2 linked regions of the Kluyveromyces lactis genome follow. The main gene of each other region encodes a partner of the protein of the gene in region 2 in a complex. Links are inferred from orthologs where the notes say so. Each region holds a gene or a part of one and is shown on either strand. Other genes may lie near its edges.

Evidence for each region.
Region 1: EAF1 (region 2) and YNG2 share a complex: the UniProt entries of both Saccharomyces cerevisiae proteins name them as parts of the nuA4 histone acetyltransferase complex. The link is inferred for Kluyveromyces lactis from reciprocal best matches to the Saccharomyces cerevisiae genes EAF1 and YNG2.

Annotation. Positions count from the first base shown.
Region 1 is NC_006037.1:629,784-632,631, forward strand, and holds YNG2 (histone acetyltransferase YNG2), read right to left. Parts: upstream 1,677-2,848; coding exon 789-1,676; downstream 1-788. Other genes in the region: KLLA0_A06952g (uncharacterized protein), read right to left, coding at 1-540; KLLA0_A06996g (DUF4112 domain-containing protein), read left to right, coding at 2,016-2,627; rRNA-processing protein FCF1, read right to left, coding at 2,740-2,848. UniProt on the Saccharomyces cerevisiae protein: Component of the NuA4 histone acetyltransferase complex which is involved in transcriptional activation of selected genes principally by acetylation of nucleosomal histone H4 and H2A. The NuA4 complex is also involved in DNA repair.
Region 2 is NC_006041.1:1,912,772-1,917,181, reverse strand, and holds the start of EAF1 (Eaf1p), read right to left. Parts: upstream 2,934-4,410; coding exon 1-2,933. Other genes in the region: protein-transporting protein BCP1, read right to left, coding at 3,433-4,251. UniProt on the Saccharomyces cerevisiae protein: Component of the NuA4 histone acetyltransferase complex which is involved in transcriptional activation of selected genes principally by acetylation of nucleosomal histone H4 and H2A. The NuA4 complex is also involved in DNA repair.

The sequences.
Region 1 (2,848 bases), on a different chromosome or scaffold from region 2:
GTCTTGTTGCAATTGCTGTCTGACCCGGTGCATAAAGTCGTCATATGCTATTACATCCGCTTGTTCTGAGGTCCCATTCTCAAGGTCCTCATCTTCGTCGTTCTCACTGTTCTGCGATGATGAGAACCTTCTCTCGTGCTCCTCTAAGAGCCAATCAAGATTTTGTTGTGATACGTTGCTTGGTTCTGATACCCTCGAGGGCAATGACACCGTCCGACTTAAGGGTTCTCCGTCCTCATCGTACTCATCTATATCTTCCAAAACTTCGTCTAAATCGTCGTAAACAGACGGTTCTCTAACACTGCTTCCAAAATCCTCATCCAAAGTGTGATAACTACCTTGCTCATCTGGATGCAACCCTCGCCTCAACCCACGATGTCTGCGTTTCCTTAAATACTTCCGTAATAACGGATTCTTCTTGTCTCTGCTCACTAAATCGAACCCTAGCGAAATGCGTCTATGGTTAGTTGCAATACCAATACCATTTGTTCGAAGCTTCGGATGAACCTGAGACAACGTCTTTCCAAATAGTGTAGCCATGTTGCCTATTGGTGCGCTTTCAGAGACCACTATTTCGATAGCTTTCGCCTGTTTTTCTGCATCTCTTCACAAAGAGCACAAGATGTCAAAGTCGAATATAGAATAAGAATCGAATAAATGCTAATTATAATAATACATTACATGATAGAATTGAAAATATTTACATATGAGGATATATATATATATATACGAGCGGCAGGAGTGAAGAAATGTGAAGACCATGAATGGGTCATACCAACCTTCGTTGATCATTGCTTCTTCTTCTTCTTATTTAGTTTCTGATTAGCAATTTCCAGTCGACATTCTGGACAATACCACTGACCCTTTGGAGGTTCCGTTAAGTTGACACAACTGTAATGGAACCATTCGTATTTACAGTTTGGACCATCGCACGCCACCATCTCACCGTATGATACTCTTTGGCAGAAACAGTACAACTGCTTGTCGTCTTCTTCGCCGCCTTGGTTCATCTTGAACAAATCATCGTTATATGCCAAAGCATCGAAAGTCGGATCTCTACCGATACCAGCGTTAGGACTCACGTCACGAGACACTGTTCCTGCACGCTGATGAGACCTAGATCTCTCTTTCTTCTGCTGTTTTCTCTTCTGTCCTTTCCCGTTCGCTGATGATGAAGAGGCTGGCCGTTTCCTACCAGAACTGGAACCTGATCCAGCCGTTCCGTTACCAAGGCCAGCGATTCCAGCTCCTAAATCAACAGATCCAGCCTTCTTATCCGAAAGCTCATCATCCAAGGGTGCAAGTAACCCATCTTCCTCAAGTGACTCGATGTTGGCCTTGATCTTGCTCAAATGTTTCGTTACTAGATACAATGCTGTATTGGCTAATATGCATTTCTGTTGTTGCAAATCGCCGCATCGCTTCATCTCTTTTTCTACCGTCTCAGTAATGGATCCCTCTTTAGGGTCCTTGGTCAACGAACCATGCTGTTTCACAAGTTTATGAAGCACGTAATCCTCCCGTAGGTACTGCTCTCTTGAGCTCACCAGGGTTTTATCTGCTACCTGCATTTCATCCATGATATGATGGAACTCTGATTTCAAGTTCGCAACATCCTGTGTAGCTTGCTCCAACGCACTCGAAGGGTCCTGTGGTCGTTCGTTAATGCTACTCATTCTTCCATACAGCCTTCCAAAATGCTAACTGCGCCTGCCTAGCGTTCTTTGTACAGCTTCTTCTCTTACATACGTATCTTTGCTATTTCAATGGAAAATTGTTTGCCAGATTGCTTTAAAGCTTTCCCTGGCTTTAAAGGCTTTGAAATAGAAAAAGTCATGATAAAGGGACATGGTTTGGTACTTCACAAACATGTTTCCATTAGTTTTTGGGAGTATTTATTATTCAGAAAAGCTAGTCCTGGCATATGAGCTTATTTGAACTCTGTTAAAGACCGAATTTACCACGATTATAGGCGACGACAGTTTCTTTTGTTAACTTTACCTTGAATCTAAACCATGGTGTTCTATTCATTTATTCTACGCAAGATTTCCAACAAGATATTTGGCGACATTAAGATTGGTGAGGGTGAGGATCCGTACTATGAGGAAGTTACTTTTGTGAAGAAGTCGTTTTGGACTGGAAATAGCCAAGTTGTGCATAAGAAGCTAAAGAAAGCAATTCCAGATTATGTCCCATTAAATGACAGAACAGTGTTGCAACGGGTTAGGAAAAGAGCTTACAGGCTTGATATGATGTTTAAGATATTTGGGATGAGAGTTGGATGGCTCGGTATCATTGGACTTTTGCCAGTGGTCGGTGACCTAATATGTTTGTACTTGTCATGGACAGTGTTCCATGAAGCACAGAAGATTCAAGGTGGTTTGCCTGTGCCCTTGCAGGCAGAGCTCTTGGGGAACATCTGTATCGATTTCCTATTAGGGTTGATTCCCATTGTTGGTGATATCGTTGGGATTGCTTATAAGGCAAATTCCAGGAACACACTTGCATTGGAACAATACTTGAGAAAGAAATACGGTGGTGAAACCATTGCCGCATCTCCTGTAGAATTAGGTTCTGTCTCCCCAGGAAGGGACCCAGACTTGGTAAAAGGCTTGAAACAGACATAAGCGAGAAGCCGTTTGTGCTAATGTACAATTATTATCCTGTTAAGAAAAGTTATATATATATATACATACTCATACCGCTATGTATAATGCTAAATCCCAGTTTTATATTATCCTAGAACACACCCGGTAGCTTCTCAATCACATAGGAGTGTCCTCCAACACTCATCAATGGGATCCCCGGCACTTTCCTCACTCTCTGCTTTAAACCAGCATCGTTCGTG
Region 2 (4,410 bases):
ACATTGTCATAAATTACAGTTTTCCTTTGTTGATCAGACAATGGCAAGCTCCTGTAAATATTTTCAGCAGCCATTAGAGCAAGTTCTGGAGTGAAATTGGGTTTCTGAAAAAGTATTTTTTTGGCATATCCTTCAATGATTTCACGTTTATTAGCCGGTTTCGTATTTCTCTGTGTGGGAGTTTGAGTTGTAACCTTTTCTTTTTCACCTAGTGGTGGTGCACTCTGGGGAGTGGACTGCTTAGACCTAATTCTTGAATCCTTTGAGTTAGGATTATTTGCCATAGGCAAATTCGGACTTGATGCTGTAGTGAGAGGAAGCTTTCCTTGCTGCAATTGAGCCATCTGCATCCTTTGTTTGGCAGCACGTTTTATTTGCATATCCCTTCTCAAGGCCTCATCACGCTGAGCTTTTAAGTCTGACATTTCTTGAGGGGTTGGAACACTCATATTCTTAACATCAAAAGGTTTACGCGGCTGCGAAGGATTTGGTCTGGGTGCGTTTTCTCTTTTTTTAATGCACTTTCTCATTGCCTCAAACATACTTGCCCAGCGTAAACGCCTATGTCCTCGTTGTATGGATTCCGATCCCACACCAAGGGGAGATATTCTCCTTTTTTGCTGCTGCTGTAATTTATGAGCTTCGTACAACCATATTTGTGCATTATGAGCCTTTGGACCCTTCATATCTGCAATGTTGAACTTTTCGTTTAGTTGAACGAACCGCTCAAAGCATTGCCAAGGGGTTCTACGTTCGATGTTTGAAACATATTCTCTTTTGTGATGATTGGACATCTGAGAACTAATGAGGTCCCAGTTATAGGCATACTGGTTTATATTTTTGACAAGCTCCTGATCATCTTCAGGTAACCAGATGGTGGGTGTACGAAATTTCAAATAGCGTAATGATGGCGCATTAGGAGGGCGAAGATAATGGCTACGTCTATTTCCATAAAACATACCACGTCGTTTTGATAAAGGAACTAGAGATGGTTCTTCGTCAACAAATTGCTTTTCTACTAATTTCATGAAATGGTCCTCGTCAAGAGGAGAAATTGCCTTTGAAACCGGTTCAAAGGGCAATGGTCTGCTAGAATCGAGATTCTTTTCGTCCAAAAGACCATACAAAGGGAGTGAGTTTGAAATGGCTGCTCCCAGTGTTGATAATTCCTTTATATCAATGTAATTCCTGAAGGGAGAGGATGATTTCTTAGCTAAATAAACTTCCATGGAGGTAACCGGAAGAGATGGAGCGACGATTTCATCTTTGGGGTTAACTCTCTTTAGTAACTTTTGTATGTCTATGGTAGGCTCTTCAGATGAGTTTTTATCAGTTTCCTTGTCCCCCTCTTTGATACCATTTTCAGACTTCTCTTCCACCGCTTCACTCCCATCAGTTAAACCGGTACTTGATTTTACACCATCCTCTGACATCTCCACATCTTCAGCAATTTTAGAAGACCCATCATCGTTGGATTGATCAGGACTTGTGTTTGATTCTTTATCTTTTTGTTCTGGCTCAACTGTACTGATTTTTGTTCCCATATCTTGGGAGGAAGCAATATCTTCTATGTCCTTTGATGGCGGTGGAATACTTTTACAATTGATACAGCATACTTTACCATAAGTCCAAAATTCCATAACTGCCTGTGCCATTTGAGTGCACATGGCTATCTTATAATTCAACGATTCACGGAAGTCTTCACGCATCCATTTTGCTTCTTCAATCAACACATTATGATGAGTTACAGGTTGTGAAGCGGTAACGGGATCGATAAATTTTCTTGGTTGTCTAAGTGACCAGAGATTCAGCCTTCTCAATTCCTCTATCCTTGATGCTACTACAGTGATTCGTCTTTCATTCAATGCAGTATTAATCAGATCAGTCGTCAATGCTTTTTGAGATTGTGGTATCAATCTCAGCAAGGGCAAAGTCTGGGATAAGTATTTGATTTCTTGAATGGGCATACCCTTTGCCAACTTGGTTGGCGCGTTCTCTTTCGTAATCATGTATACCGCCTCTTTCACATTTATGTCATCTTCGAAAAACGTCTTACGCTCTTCCTTTGATACATTGTTGATAATAGATTCTATAATATAGGGTTGAGGTTCTTTCACCCCAATTGGTGTTGGGTCAGCATGCAATTGTGAGATGTCTATCATCTGAGAATAAGGATGAGGCGGAATTTCCATTGTTGCAGCGTTACGTGCAGCGGTAGAATTAGATAGGTTTCCACTATCAAGCCGTTGCCTTTTACTTATTTGATTTTCGGAAATATCTTGTTGTTCCTCATCTAACAAACGCTTTCCAGAAGTACTTGGCTTTGATTGGGTCTCCGGATATTGGACAGATTTCGGTTCCATATGTGCCTGAACTACCACAGGAGGAACATTATTATGTGTTATCGGCAGCTTCTGTGTGGGAGACACCGATCGCTGCTTTTGCAGTTGTTGCTGCTGCAGCTGTCGAGATGACTGCGCTTGCACCATAGATTGCCTTGAACTTTGCTGAATTGACTGCTGTGACTGAACTCGTGGAACTACCCTTGTTTGAGACTGCGGGAGTGTCTGCGTATCCACATCATGTTCCTCGCTTCCACTTGGCGACACGTCTTTCGACCGCTGTTTCTTCAATTCTCGTTTCACTTCTGACGGTGAAGAACTCTTACTCCTGTTATTCAGCTTCCTATCTGACGACACGTCTCTCGGCCTAAACTTAGGCAATGCATTAATATCTATAGGCTTGTCCTTGATCAAGGTATGTTGATCTAAAAACTTTTCTATCTCCTTCCCTATTCTCTCATGATTCTCCACGTTTTTTAACTCGGTAATTTGTGAGATACAGTACAATTGTACTAGCAAGTGCCGTCTCTCCTCTAAGAGCTGCTCTGGGCTCTTACTTCCAGTAGCATTCCCTTTGCTTGCACTGCTCATCGCCTTGAAATCCTTACTTTCTATTAGATGTTCTGTGAATATCTGTCACGTTGAAAAAATATAACTTTCGGTCTGAATGGCAAGTGATAGGAAAATATCCAAAAAAAAAAAAAGGAAACTGGGTCCTCTGATTTTTCTTTTAGCGAGGGCTTGTCTCGGAAACAGCACGCTTCTGTACAAACAACAGGATCGTCCAACCAAACAAGGCTTTTCTGTGTCAGGTACTTTTGAAACTGAGTCGAATAGTGTTCTCACGGTCCTGTTCTGTTACCGTATTACGGCTTGTTTTCTCGATTTCTACTATATAAGTACGTATTTCATGTTGTTCAGCAATTTTTTTGTTCCTTGAAAGATTTTTTTTTCTTTTGGGAGGCCGAAATCATGTAAGGAGGGTAACTAAAGATCAGGTCACGTGCGTTAATTGTTGGGTTCCCAGAACGGGATTAATCCACATACCATCATCACCTTCCTCAATGTAACTACTGAACATTTACATCACTCACCAGGTCTTGATGGCCGCATCTAGATCTTCGATGGATTTAATTAGTCCAGCATGGTCCAAAACCATGTACGATGTAATAAGACCCTTTCTCGCCTCGGAATCCACATGGACTTTGGCTAGCTTTTCAAGGAAACGATCTTCTTCATGGAAATAGTCTACTTCGTTTGTTTGTCTTACCTTCTTGCGGACAGCTTGGTTCGATGTTAGATCGTCTTCGTCCATATCAAAATTCACTTCGTACTTCCTTGAAACGATTAGGTAGAAATCATAGTTTTTATCATCCCCAAGCGCAAGCTTCACATCTTCTAATGTGATAGTGTACAATGGCGGCACAACTTCTGGTGGCATATTAATCAATCTTTCACTCAAGACTAACGAACAAGTCTTCTCCGATTGATCTATAGTTTGTAGGAAAGTAGCTAGCTTGGGGTCAACTTTACGAAGATATTTGGCATAATCACTATCTTTGTTGGCCTTGTAATCGATAAATGATAGGAAACAGTATGGGTCAGACTCCTTACCATCGGTTTTGATGGTAGTAGTTGGTGAGTCCAAGATTAAATTTGCCAATTCACTTAGTTGAATTCTGTTCGATTCCTGTGGTCCAAACAACTGACGCATCAGATTCTTCAAAGCATGGAAATCAACGTCGGGATTACCATTGAAGAAATCAAAATCGATGTTGATGATTTCTTGTTCCTCTTGACCGTTTTCTTGGTCTGAAATATTTGAGTCTGTACTTGATATGTCAAGATCAGATTCCTCATCGACTGCACGTTTCTTGGATAATGCACTTAATTTAACAACCTGGACCATTGCAGACTAAAATAGAGTGTTGTTGCTGGTTTAATAAAGCCCAACTAATAACTATTGTTTATCTCTTTGAAACTTCCTCGAATCTATTCTAAAGTAGTGATGAGCTCGCCAAATGCAGGTTTGCATCAAATTTAAAGAATAGTTTCTTTTCGAAAAGGT